Linked DNA regions of Pelodiscus sinensis. The protein of the gene in region 2 purifies or fractionates together with the protein of the main gene of each other region. This does not show direct contact. Links are inferred from orthologs where the notes say so. Each region holds a gene or a part of one and is shown on either strand. Other genes may lie near its edges.

Region 1 (7,014 bases), on a different chromosome or scaffold from region 2:
CTACACTGTGAAGTAATTCTGAAACTGTATTGACTTTATACAAACTGATGGATAAATAGCCAACAATTTTTAAAGGGTTGAGTGATTTTGTGGGCCTAGTTTGTCATGTAGGAGAGGGTAGGTGCTCAGCTCTTTCTAAAAATCAAGGTGTCCAACTGAGCACCTAAAGCAGGAGTGGGCAATAATTTTTCAGGGGGCCACTCTCAGAATTTTGGTAAGTGTTCACAGCCACTCTTTTCTATCATATTAATCAAGGGGTAGGGAGGTTTGGGATGGAGTTTGGGCACAGGAAGGATTTCCAGGCAGGGGATTGAGGGACAGGGAACTGGGAGGCAGTTTGAGTCCAGGAAGAAGTTCAGAGATGCAACAGAGGGCTGGGGTGCTGAATGGGGTGTGAGGTGCATGCTGTGACCCTAGGCAGGAGGCCCTTGCCATAGGTGGCTCCCAGCTGGCAGCACAGTAGAGCTCTTAGGTGGGCAGCGGGCAGGCTACTTGCATGCCATTGTGGCCTCACACCACCCAAAGAGTGGTGTGGCAAATGCTAGCAGCAGCAGGCCACTTCCCGGGGCAACATGGTCAGGGCTATGGCAGGCAGGCAACCTGAGTGTTGTGCCCTGGGATTTTTAGAATCCCAGAGGATCATAGTGGGCTGGAGGGAAATGTTTGGTGGGCCATATTTTGCCCACCCCGACAAAGTCACCTTTGAAAATCCTGGCCATGGTGATCAGTTTTGCACACATGTAAAATAATACGTAATAGAAATACAAGGAATAAGGGAAATGATTAGAAGAATGTGAAGTTAGAAATATGAATAGTAAATGTGTTCATTCTAAATGTGGTAACAATACCTAGAAACTTAATGACTCAGCACTCAAAGCATGAATGGTCATGTTTGGCTTTTAAGTCCAAACTGTAGCTGGTCCTAGAAAAACATATGACCATGCGACCAGGTTCTGGGATCCATCTTGAACCTGGTAATTTTTCATGTGGTGGGACGCACTGAAGAAAGAATTGTCACCCTGGGGAAAAGTCTATTTAAGCAATCAGACTTTGTCTTCAACCCGCTTTTGAAATTGTCTGGCCCACCCTAAAAGGATACTTAAGGAACTCTGAAAAGCTGTAGGCCCAAACTAGAGTAAAAATCAACTCCGACAAAGCTTTAACCTGAGAACAGCTGTTAAGGTAAGAATTTGCATTACCTTAAACAGCTTTTTTGTTCATTGTAATTTAGTAACTTACTTTTATCAGACTGTTCTCATTTGTAACCAGTTAAATCCTACTTTTTGTACTTAATAAAAAACACTTTTATTTATTATCAATCCCAGTGCAAATAACTGCTATGGAGGGCAACCACTGTGCATCTCCTTCTTTCATTGATATAGTGGGTGACCTTTATGAGCCTTCACTATGTAAAACTTCTACAGAGTACAACAGATTCATGTGGGGTTTTGGTCCCCTTTAATGATTGTTCTCCTGGATACTGAGTCCTCAGAGCCAAGTCCTACCAGAGCTGAACTGCTTCACTGTCTGTGCTGCTCCGAAAGGGGGCGGTAACCCCAACTCTGTACCTTGTCTAGAGGAGACTAGAGAATCTGGCCCAGCATTATTGGGTAGTGGGGAACCCCAGAGAGCAGGAAGGCAGGCATCATGGTCAGCACATCAGGAGACAACACTAACCATCATACAAGGATTCTAGCAATTTTTTGTGAAACATTTAGTATTAGCCACTCTTGAAAACTGGACACTGAGTCACAGTCTGCTACTCTGAGCCATTAAAGCAAATTCTTTGTTCCTAAAATTATTATGAATTTATTAATTTTTCCTATAGCCTCATATTATACAATATTCAGTCTTTCTATTAAGGTTTTTCAAATTCACTTTTCCTTTTTTTTAAACAACAATCTAAAGAACTTGCAAAGGCAATTGCCTATCTAACTTAAACACCATATGGCCATTGGTCATCAATTTTCAGTCTAAACTTTATAATCAAAGTAAGTTGATCATAGTGCAGATTTATTTTTCCTCCAACTTTTGAAGGAAATTCAATAGAACAAAAAAAAAGCACACCATTTCAAAGATGTGAGATGCTGTTTAATTTTCTGAAAGGAAAAGAGTTGGCTCCCCACCTTACAGTCAAAAGAATTTCTCTCTACGGGACATTCGTTTTCCTCAAAAACTCTGGAGATATCAAAACACTTTAAGAAAAAACAAAGCACTTCATATTGAATACTGCTGCTTTGAATGTAGAAGACAAACACCGAACCAGGGATCATCACACAAGATCCTAAAACACTACACAAAAGGAAACCTCAGATACCAACCCGCTCCCTGGACACACACTCATGTCCACCAAACACTTCCTCAGGATCCAAGCCTGGAAGCAGGCAGACACAGCGCTGAACCCAGAACTGCATCTCTCACCCCCACGGGCGCTCCCAACGACTGCGGTCAGGAGTCACAGCAATTCGACCTCGGCACAGAGGGAGAGAGCAGGACCCGCGGCCTCACCAGGGCCGGCCGGTTACCGCAGGAGCGACCTTCCCGAACCCCCCTCGGCCTGAGAGACTAAGCAGCCGGGCCGGCCTCCCTGCCCCTGGAAACGGGGCCCGCGCCGCGGCTCACCCGGGGGGGCGATGGGTCAAGGGGCAGCCCCGGCGCGGGCAGGAGGATCAGAAGCCGCAGGTGGCTGCGAGCCCTTCCCCGCCGGGCCCTGGGGCGTGGCCGAGATGGGCCAGGTGCCCCCTTTCCACGCCGCTCTCTGGGACCCCCGCGCCGGGAACCGGCCCAGCTCCCACCCGGCGCCGCCGCCCGGGCTCGGCCTGCCGCCCCTCCCCCCGCGGCGGGGCGCCGGCTGCGGCTCTCACCACGAACACCGCCTCGGGGATGCCCAGGTGGCCCCGCTTTCCGCCCGCGGGCGCCTCGCCACAACAAATCTCGCCGCTGGTGGCCGCCGCCATCTTGGGGAAACTGACGGCGTGCGCGCGTACGTCCGAGCAGCCGCCCTCCGGCCGCCGAGCGCAGTGTACGTCACTGCGTCAGCGTCACACCCACCGCTCCGTCACGGCCATTGGCTGCCGCGCTTTGACGGACAGGGGAGGATACTGATCTAGTGCTGCCCCCTTGCTCTGCCTCTGCTGTGCTGCCCCCAGGGGAAAAATGGTACAGGGCTGAGTCACGCCCAGGGCAGTATTTCTGCTTAACACATTGAAGCTCTTTGTTACAATATCTTGCTTGCCACTGATGAGACCTTGGCGGTGACAAACTGAGGAGAGGTTGTGCTCATGACAGCTCATGATGATATATGTATATAGAAAAAACCAACAAATGGTCTGGTAGCAGTTACAGACTAACAAAACCTGTAGATGGTATCATGAGCTCTCTTGGGCACAGCCCACTCCTTCAGATGACCGGAGTTATGAGTTTGGGATGAGTACACTGGAAATAAATGCGGGGTGGGGGAGAGAAAAAGGGAGGGGGCTGGAAGACAGAGCATCAGTAAGTATCTGGAGAATGGGTACTTAAAAGCAGATAAAAGTCCCCGGACACTACGTTGACGTCTACACTGGCATGGTCTTGTGCAAGAACTCTTCCAGAAGAGAGTGTCTACACTGGCATATGCATTTGCACAAGAGATGTGCTTTTGCACTAGAGCTTCCATGCCACTGTAGACGTTCTCTTGCGCAAGAAAGTTCTGATGGCCATTTTAACCATAGGGCTTTCTTGTGCAAGAAATTCATGTTGCCGGTCTGCACTGGCCTCTTACACAAGAAGAGTTGCGCAAGAGGGCTTATTCCTGAGCGGGAGCATCAGAGTTCTCGTGCAAGAAGCACTGATTTCATACATTAGAACGTCAGTGTACTTGCGCAAGAATTCACGGCCAGTATAGACAGGATCAGTGTAGAGCAAGATTGCTCTAGTATAGACACAGCCTACCAATTTAACAACCATTGAAGGAGCTAACAGCTCTCTGTGTAGTATCCTTTCTAACAAGGGAATCTATCTATTGACTTGGATTTTTATTTGCTTTGGTTTAAGTACCCATTCTCCAGATACTTACTGATGCTCTGTCTCCTAGCCCCCTCCCTTTTCCTTTCCTCTCCCCTCCCCTTCCCCCCTCTTATTTATTTTGAGTGTACACATCCCAAACTCATAACTCCGGTCATCTGAAGAAGTGGGCTGTGCCCATGAAAGCTCATGATACCATCTACATGTTTTGTTAGTCTATAAAGTGCTACCAGACCATTTGTTGTTTTTTTTCTGTAACAGACTAACTCGGCTACCCCCTGAAGCTATATGAAGGTTCCACAGAAGGGTTTTGTTTTTGTTTTTTTTATGAGAGATTTTGTGTTTTCCTCTAAATTATTGTTCTTTGGGGCAATGTTCCCTCTCATCATTTCCATCCACGTGCAGAATAATTTTTGTCTATGTACACCAAGACACATGTGAATGTGCAGCACTGGTAGAAATAAAACCCTCCTTGAGGACACTCTGTTAATCAGGAGGGCAGCATTTGAATCTCTCCTGATTGACCCACAAACACAGCTTACGGCAGGGACTGCTGGCGGACTGAAAAATCAGTCATGGGCTGCACACAGGTGAGAAGCAAACAATGTTTTAAAAATATAACACCACCTCACTTACGTGGTCCCCGACTAAGCAGCAGAAAGACACTACCTGATTTCCCCTTGTACACCAGTGCTGGGGGAGGGGGAAGGAGACAGGCTAATAGATTTTATGGACCCCTCTAGGCTCTGGAGTTTGGCCAAAAGAAGGGGTTCATTGTGTGGGAGGGGGACTGCCAGCAAGCAGGATTCAGGTGTGGGGTCTGGGCAGGAGAGAGGGAGCAGGAGTGGGTTGGAGCCTGGTAGGTCTGGAAGGGTGATAGGATGCAGGAGCGCAGTAGGGGTGTAGGGCCTGGGTGGGAAGGTGGGTGCAGGAGTGAAAGGGGTGTGTGTGGGGTTGGAGTGCCAACACCAGCTCCCTAATGCTGAGGGAGAAAGCCCCAATCCTCGGGAACAGAATCCAGGCAAGCTGGAGGCTGCATCCAGCCTCTGGGTCTTAGGTTCCCTCCTCTAGCTTACAGGGAACATTGGCTCTGGATTTTATTGTCCATCCATTCCCACCTGCAACAAACTATATTGCTACCACCATTCCCTACCCCATATTATGGCAGCAAGTCCTACAGGATCACCTGCCCACTGCAGGGTTCCAGTAGGCTACGTCTAGACTGGCATGATTTTCCGGAAATGCTTTTAGCAGAAAAGTTTTCCGTTAAAAGCATTTTTGGAAAAGCGCGTCTAGATTGGCAGGACGCTTTTCCGCATAAGCACTTTTCGCGGAAAAGCGTCTGTGACCAATCTAGACGTGCTTTTCCGCAAAAAAGCCCCTATCGCCATTTTCACGGTCGGGGCTTTTTTGCGGAAAACAAATCTCTGCTGTCTACACTGGCCCTTTTGCGCAAAAGTTTTTCAGCAAAAGACTTTTGCCCGAACGGGAGCAGCATAGTATTTCCGCAAAAACACTGACAATCTTACATGAGATCGTCAGTGCTTTTGCGGAAATTCAAGCGACCAGTGTAGACAGCTGGCAAGTTTTTCTGGAAAAGCAGCCACGTGCCTGTGTTGAATGGGTAGTACTATATTTGGTTAGCAGGCCCAACACAGGTAATCCTTACACTTATGACAAAGGATGCTGTATTATTTTTATGTGCTATGAACCTTATATTGAATACAAAGCACAAGGAACGGAGAACCTTCACGAAGAAGTGTTGCATTATGTGTTGGCTCTGAAAAATAAATAATTGGACCTCTTTCCACAAAGAGCTGCTTCTTCCATGTTGGAAGAAGCATCTCCATTTTTTTGTGTGTGAAAAGGATTGTGGAACTGTATACAGTTATAACCTTTATAGACCTCTAGCATTGACATGACTTTGTAAAACAAATTATAAGATACTTATGGTACAGTTAGCATAATGATATTCACTGGAATGTCATTCCTTGCAAAACCAAGCTTCAGAGCTCAAATGAAAATTGTTAATCATGTCTGTTTTTCCCATCATGACAGTTCGAACTAGGGTGGCAGTGCAGACATACCCTAAGGTGCTGCAGAACTATTAGCTGTTTTTTAAGTTTTTCCAGTTACAGATTAACTCAGCTACCCCTCTGAAGCTCATGAGGTACGACTTCATTTGTAAGCTAACTGGAAGCAAAACCTTACAGCAACATTGTCTAATCATGAGGGACAGGGTAATCCTCATCCTCATAAGAACAGCCATACTGGGTCAGACCAAAGGTTCATCTAGCCCAGTATCCTGTCTGCCAACAGTGGCCAATAACAGATGTCCCCTAGGCAGGGATCACAATGGGTAATCCTCACGAGATCCCCTCCCCTGTCACCCACTTGCAGAGAAACAGAGGCTAGCAATACCATTCCTACCCATCCTGGCTAATAGCCATTGATGGACCTAACCTCCATGAATCTATCTAGCTCTTTTTGGAACCCTGTTAAAGTTCTAGTCTTCACCACATCCTCTGGCAAGGAGTTCCACAGGTTGACTGTGCACTCAGTGAAGAAAAACTTCCTTTTGTTTTAAACCTGCTGCCTATTAATTTCATTTGGTGACCCCTAATTCTTATGTTGTGGGAATAAGAAAATAACTTTTCCTTATTCACTGTTTCCATGCCAATCATGATTTTGTAGTTTTTGTCAGATCCCCTCTTAGTCTCCTCTTTTCTAAGCTGAAAAGTCTCAGTCTTTTAAATCTCTCTTCAGACCTGTTCCAAACCCCTAATCATTTTTGTTGCCCTTTTATGAACCTTTTCCAATGCCAATATATCTTTTTTGAGATGAGGCGACCACATCTGTACTCAGTATTCAAGATGTGGGCGTAGCATCGTTTTATATAAAAGCAATAAGATATTTTGTCTTATTCTCTATCCGTTTTTTAATGACTCCTAACATTCTATTTGCTTTTTTCACTGCCGCTTGTTGCCCTAGGTAAAGATCCAAAATGGA
Region 2 (7,100 bases):
TAACCACATCACTGCACAGCTGAATTTTAACAAGGGAAATTCCAAACAAGCGGCCTGAGGTCCCCGCAGCTATTTGGCCAACCCAGAGAGACTGATATACAACTGCTTCAGGGGGTAGCCAAGTTAGTCTGGGCATTTGTAAGTTAGTCTTTAAAGTGCTACCAGACTGTTAGTTGTTTTTAAGTTTATTATATGCAACTAGCAGATTTAACATCCTGTTACTGTTTTGGACAACAGACTGTGATCCAACTTTTATTTGCTTTGGCCTCTCAGTAACTCCCATTCTGTTTTCTTAATGTATCCATTGTTAATTCGTTGACTAAAGATTGGCTCCAGCATTCTTTAGCAAGCATTGACCTGTCAGCAACTGGCCCCCTCAGGCTGGAAGAACCTAATGTCCTGTGATTTTCAGTAGTAACGACCTTTCCTCACAGAAGCCCAGTCTGTCTGTTGGCTCCACATTAAGCTAGGACAGCGAGGCAGGAGTACACATTAGTGGCAGCTCTAGTTAAATTATAGACTCTATGGCCAGCGTGGGAGCATCTGGCCAGTTTCTGACAGTCTGACCTGCGATTGGCCCCCGTGGCTGTGACCCAGACGTGTCACACTGACGATGGGTAGAGAGTGGTGGCCCCTTTATTGCAGGGGCTTGGAGCACAGGGGCAGTGTCAGGAGATTGCCCAGCAGGGAGGGCTGGCGTGGAACCGGACGCTCTCACCTGTGGCATCCAGGAGCAGGTGGCAGTTATAAACCCTCTGGGTGCTGGCCCAGTCCTCACCTCTCTCATGGAAACCACCCAGAGACAGCCACACCCCACACTCCCTGTCAGGGAGAGACATCACATTACAAAGGAGCTTGGCCCTCACTCCCCAACCTGTAATGGCCCTGGAGACCAAGAGTCGCATACCAGCTTCCCTCCCACATTTCCCTGCTTGCGCGGACAGCACTGGTTCCACAGCCCACTCAACGCCTGGCCCTTATGTCGACGGGTGGCCGGGAGTGCCAGCCAAATCTGTCCAGTAGGAACAGGACTGAGACCTGCCCAGCAGGGACCCACTGGGGTCAATGCCTGGACTGGCAACCCAGAGCTAATGGGCTCCACAGCATGTCCCAACAAGAAGGGCTGTTATGCACACAGTCATTTCAAGAGATGCTGAGAGGCCTGCGGTGAACCTTACATTGCTTTGCTGCCTCTCCTCAACCCCCACCCACCCTGCCTGGGAAGGGACCACAACGCCCATCAGTCCCACCAACCTCACATCCAACCTCTCCCCCATAAAGGCCCAACCTTTCAGAGATCTGGCACCCCCTAAGGTAGATCATTCCTGCCCCCACCCCTCACCCAGCTCCCACGCCGAGCCCCTTGCTTAGAGCAAAGAGAATTCAGGACAATCAGGTGTGAAAGAGTCAAAAGTGACATGGGCAGGGGAGCAAGCTCTAGACAAAATGGCACACGGGGAGAGCGGTGGGAACAGGGTGACATGAATTGTAGGCTCACAGTTTGGCTGTAGAGCAGCATACAACTGTGGGCCAGCTCCCCAGGGATGGGGCGGGAGCCCCCATCACAGCCATTTGAACAAGGCCGGGACAAGTCCTGATAAACAGACAAGCTGGCCCAAACCTGCCCTGGCCCTGAAAGATCACCCAGCACCATCTGGGCTGCTCTTCATTTATCCAGAGCCGTACCTGGCCAGGCCGGCGTATCTCATAATCAGATCTCCCTCCAGGCTCTCAGCCAGGCTCAAGGTCTCTTGCTTGCTGCTGCCAATGAAGTCGAAGGCCTCAGGGAGGAAGACAACGCAAGCCCCACGTTGCGCTGCCTCTCGGACGAGCCGCGAGCAGCTGGTGAAGTTCTGCTCCTTGTCAGGCGTGGAGGTGAGCTGGCACACCGCAATGAGGGGCTTAAGCGCAGTAGCAGCCATGATGCCAGGTTGCCAGGGGGCACAGGACAGCAGGGCTGGGCTGGGGACCAGGAACAAGAGGAGAGTGGAACAGACTGATCAGGGAAGGAGCAAGAGAGGCAGGTAACTGCAGCTCCTGAGCCCCAGCCCAGTTTATATGGTCCCTGTGGGGATGCTGTGTTACTAGACAGGAGATGGCCTTGGACAGGATGCTCATGTAAAGGCCTCAGTGATTCAGGCATCAGCTTCCTCCAACCCCCCCCCCCAGACATCTACCTCCCCACAACCATGCTCATCATACCTGCAGCTGGCTGCGCGGGCGGGGATCTTTGGCAGCTGCTTCCAGGGAACCTGGCGACAGGTGTGGTGCAGCAGGCATAGGGGGGCCTGGATCACTGCTCTCAGCCTGGAGGATGCACAGGGAGGGGGAGTTAATGACTGTTCAACCACTGCAGCAGGAGGCCCTGATGTTGCCTGCAGGTGGCAGCCTGGGAGTGATGGGTGGGATGTGGAGGGGGCTTTAAAAGAAGATTAATGTCTCCCTCACAATAGAAAATAATAATGGGAAATAGGAATAGCTCAGCGTTCACGAACAACCCTACCACAACACCCCAGCCAGATGGGCCCAGTGCTCACAATCTTACCACAACAAACTAGCCCAGGGCTCACAAACAATCCCACCACAACAAATGAGCAACGCCAACGCAATGCTCACAAACAGCCCTGCTACAACACATCAGCACAGACAGCCAGGTACTCATGAACAATCCTACCTCAGCTCACCAGCATTGTGCTGATGAACACAGCAGCCTGGTCAGCCCAGTGGTTGTGAACATCCCTACAACAACACACCAGCCTGGCTGGCCCTGCGCTTACTGCTTGGTGCACTCCTTGAAAAGCTTCCCAAAATACCAATATTTTGTCATCCAGATTCATGTTCCTTTCACAGTTGCTTTCCCTAAACATCTGACCAGGTTTTTTGATCTGAGGAAGTGGGTCTGGCCCACGAAAGCTCATCATCTAATAAACCATCTTGTTAGTCTTTAAAGTGCTACATTGTCCTGCATTTTGCTTCATCTGATCAGATGGGATTCTTGGGCTGAACAGCCCAGAAATATGACACTAAGAAGAGGACTCAGGCAGCCAGAGACAAAAAAACAGTTTCTTGCTGCTCATGGTTTATCTCCACAATAGCAGGAAGAAGGTCAAGTCTGGCTTGAGCAAAGCATGGGAATCTAGGGCGAACAGAAGACATCATGATCCAAGAACAAGAGTGTTGTATCTTTAAAGCTTCCTTCAGCCCAAATGTTAATATGCTGTTGAAGTTTAAAAGGTGTCAACACAAATCAAGAGTTTGAAATAGTTTGACTCAAAGTCCGTTCCTCTTTGAACTCTCACTCGTTGGGCTCCAGTGATTTACACTAGCGCTGCAGTTATCCGGGCAGCTGCCAGTCCTGGGACCTATTCCTGGCTATGTTTTGTTGCCCCTAAGTCTCAGAGTCTCCGGACGGATGGAAATAAAATGGGGAAAGCAGAGGAGCAACTCCAGCCTGCTAAGGGAATGGATGAAGCGTGGAAACGGTCAGCGCCACACACACAAAACAAGGAGGCGCCCAGGCCTCATCCCCTACCAGGGGCTCCCAGAAATCTTGGGTCCACCCCAGAACCCTGCCCCCTCTGCTCCTCGTCCCCAGCCCCTCCCACTGGCAATATCCAGCCTGCTCTAAACTGGCCAGTCCCTGGGAGGGGGGGGCGGCCCCACCCCCGATTCAGAGATGTGCCCCCCAACCCTCCTCAGGCAGCCCCCCTCGGCTCCTCCCCTCCCAAAACAGCCAGCCCCGCCCCTCACCCGCCCCCCCCCAAAAACTCCTGAGGCGGCCAGCCCCGCCCCCCCAAACTCCTGAGGCGGCCGGCCCCGCCCCCCCGAGGCGGCCGGCGCCCCCAGCCCCGCCCCATAGCGAGCCGGGCTGTTACATGGAGCAGGCAGCGGGGAAGGGGGCGACTCGGCTCCTGGGGCGCAGCTGCAGGGCCGGTCCCGCCGGAATCCTGCAGGGGGCGGGGAAGGGAGCGGGCGGAGCGAAGTCCGACAGAGCCCTTCACAAAGATGGCGCCTCAGGCCCAGCGTCAGGGCGCGTGCCCCAAACAAACATGGCGCCCGAGGGGGCCTTTTCCCGGCCGGTAGAAGACGTGACCCTGCCGGAAGTTGGGGCGTACGGAGCATGCGCAGAACGGGCGGGAAGATGGCGGACAGCGGCAAGAGCAAGCCCGCAGCGACGGCTCCATCCACCGGCAAAGCCCTGGCGGCGGAGCAGGTACCGGGCGGGTCCATCGCACCCTAAGAAGGGGGAAGTGTGTGTGGGGCGGGCCCATCGCACCAGGTGAGGAGGGGGGGTGTATGTCGGGCGGGCCCATCGCACCAGGTGAGGAGGGGGGGTGTATGTCGGGCGGGCCCATCGCACCAGGTGAGGAGGGGGGGTATGTCGGGCGGGCCCATCGCACCAGGTGAGGAGGGGGGGTGTATGTCGGGCGGGCCCATCGCACCAGGTGAGGAGGGGGGGGTGTATGTCGGGCGGGCCCATCGCACCCCATGGGGGTGGTGTATGGGCCAGGCGAGTCCATCTCTTGGGGGGGGGTTTCACTGAGCGCTCCCCCCCCCCCCCGTGACTGACCTTCTCCCCCCCCCCCCAGGTGGTGGCTGGATTCAACCGGCTGCGGCAGGAGCAGCGGAGCTTGGCCTCGAAGGCGTCGGAGCTGGAGCTGGAGCTGAACGAGCACAGGTGGGGGCAGGATCGGCCCCCCCTCTTCCCCCGTGCGCGTTTAGCTGCTCCCTCACCAGCCAGCCACGTGCCTGCTGCAGCGTCACCTGATGCCTTCTCTCAGCCCCGCCCCCCAGTGCAGCGCAGGGCCCAGCCCATGTGCCCCCTGCGCTGCTCAGCGGGGGAGGAACCCGCCCAGTGCTGGAAATGGTCACTGGCCCCCTGGGCTTTACCTGCCATCGTCAGGGGGATGTCGGGCTCTGCCCTTGGTGTTCAGGGCTTGCTTGGAGCCCTGATCCCATTGCGACTCTGCACACAGGGCTCTGGGTATCAGGTAGGCTGGGCCTCAGACTATAGTGCAGGGTCCAGTGGGGGGGCCACTGGCCCACAGAAAAATCATTCAGGGCCACCCACAAATAAGGAGCAAACAACCAAACCAAAAAGCTCAGCCTCAGCCTTCACTGGCCTGCTCTCCGAGTGAGAGAGGGGGAAAAGACGCATTCCCCACAAACTCCAGCGTCATGGCGGAGTGGAGTGCCGAGGCTCAGGACTTACCCCCAGAGCTGGATTAACTCCTCTGAGGTCCTGGGGCTAGTAGATTTTGTGGGGGCTTAGGCTCTGGAGTGAGTTAAACAATGAGGGGTTCATTGTGTTGGGGAGGGGGCTGCTGGGGAGTGGGATGAGGTGGTGGGGTCAGGGCAGGAGGCTGGGTATGGGAGGGGTAGGCCCAGCTCTGAGGGTCTGGGGCGCAGGTGACCCAGGGCTTGTAGGCACTGTCCCCCAGCCCCCCCATTAGCCATTATTCCTGGCCAGTGGGAGCCACAGGAGTAGATCTTTAAGTGAGCACAGAGGCAGAACTTTCCTATGTTGCTGTTCCCAGAGCTGCTTCCTCCCTGCCTATCAGGCGGAGCCTGCAGGCTGATCTGCTGGGGGAGCTCTGAGCTTTGTGGGCTGGGTCAAAGCAAACCCACTGGCTGGAGGTTCCCCTTCCCTGCTATAGCGACTGGCTGGGCCCTGTGGATCTGCAGCCCTGCCTGTACGGTCTCTGTGGTGCTGGGAGGGCCCTCAGCAGCATCTGCCTTTTCTACAGCCTGGTCATTGACACGTTGCAAGAGGTGGACCCCACCCGCAGGTGCTACCGCATGGTGGGTGGGGTGCTGGTGGAGCGCACTGTCAAGGAGGTCCTCCCTGCCCTGGAGAGCAACAAAGAGCAGGTAACATGGGTGCTAGGCATGGGCAGGGTCTGGGGAGGGCACAGACTGCTCTGTGCCTCACTGGCATGGGGGTGGGGATGTCATGCATGCTGGCTATGTGCCCTTTCTCTTGGTGAGGGAGTCTCTTCTCTAGTTTGCTAGAGGGGCCATGATGTGGTTAGTGCAGGGGTGGGCGGTGCATTGTGTCCAGGAATGGGGAAGGTGCTGGACCTCTCTCTCTGGGGCTCTGCTTGGGAGCTGGAAGGATATCTGCCTCGCTGGATTTCAAGGGGAGTTGGGTCCCTGTGGAAACCCTCACTCTGGGTCCCAGAAAGATCCTACCAAACCATACCTTGTCCCTAAGAGCAATTAGTCCCTTCCCACGCAGGGTGTAACACAGTGAGTGGGGACATTGAGGGTTGCATATTTTTCTCAGGCTGGGTTGTCGCAGTGCATCTGTAACCAAGAGAGGAATAGAACCCAGGAGTCCGGGCTCTTCTCATTTCCTAATTTAAATCGTTGCTGTGTGGCAGGGTGATGTTTGCTTCCCTTCACCCTTCAGGGAGCTGGGGCAGGGCCTCACAGCAGCTGAGTCTGCCTCACAGTGAGCCCAGCTGCTGTCCCATCACTAATTGACCACCTACTGCCATATGCTCCCCTGCGATGTCCCACTCCTGTCCCCAGAGGGTGTGGGGGGGGAAGGGGGTACAGCTTTGTGGTCATGCACATTGACCTGGGGTTGAATGACGCTGTCATGCATGAAGAGAAGTGGATGGCACTTCTCAGCCTGGAATTGCAAATAGATCCCCACAGGAGGGTGAAGGGAGGTGCATGCTAGTGCCCACCCTGCACTGTGCCTTGGCATTGCACTATTCCCACCCTCCACCCAACTTCCAAACTTGCAGATCAACAAAATCATCGAGAACCTGACCCAGCAGCTGCAGACGAAGGGCCAGGAGCTGAACGAGTTCCGGGAGAAGCACAACATCCGCCTGATGGGGGAGGATGATCAGAAACAGCCGCCCAAGGAGAGCTCTGACAGGGCAGGAGCCAAGACCAGCTCCGCTGGTGTCCTGGTTTCCTAGTAAGGACACTGTTGTGTCTGAGCCCTTTCCCAAAGGACTTTGTGCTCTCACCCTCCCCTCCCCTCCCCCCCCCAAACCTCTGAGGCTTAACTTTATCATTTGGTGTCGCTCTTGTAATATTTTTTGTTAAGTAAACATTTTTCTGTCATGAGCTTGGGTGAATGT

Evidence for each region. Proteins that work in one complex are often made in the same cells at the same time.
Region 1: the proteins of PFDN2 (region 2) and VBP1 fractionate together in Homo sapiens (co-fractionation; 8 studies listed by BioGRID and IntAct, counting the BioPlex papers as one, with this or other methods). This does not show direct contact. The link is inferred for Pelodiscus sinensis from reciprocal best matches to the Homo sapiens genes PFDN2 and VBP1.

The regions. Positions count from the first base shown.
Region 1 is NC_134723.1:29,341,703-29,348,716, forward strand, and holds the start of VBP1 (prefoldin subunit 3), read right to left. Parts: upstream 3,022-7,014; 5' UTR 2,958-3,021; coding exon 2,865-2,957; intron 1-2,864. UniProt on the Homo sapiens protein: Binds specifically to cytosolic chaperonin (c-CPN) and transfers target proteins to it. Binds to nascent polypeptide chain and promotes folding in an environment in which there are many competing pathways for nonnative proteins.
Region 2 is NC_134734.1:16,074,933-16,082,032, forward strand, and holds PFDN2 (prefoldin subunit 2), read left to right. Parts: upstream 1-4,059; 5' UTR 4,060-4,120; coding exon 4,121-4,213; intron 4,214-4,589; coding exon 4,590-4,678; intron 4,679-5,747; coding exon 5,748-5,871; intron 5,872-6,755; coding exon 6,756-6,935; 3' UTR 6,936-7,086; downstream 7,087-7,100. Other genes in the region: NIT1 (deaminated glutathione amidase), read right to left, coding at 719-822, 1,687-1,962, 2,203-2,307, 3,876-3,877. UniProt on the Homo sapiens protein: Binds specifically to cytosolic chaperonin (c-CPN) and transfers target proteins to it. Binds to nascent polypeptide chain and promotes folding in an environment in which there are many competing pathways for nonnative proteins.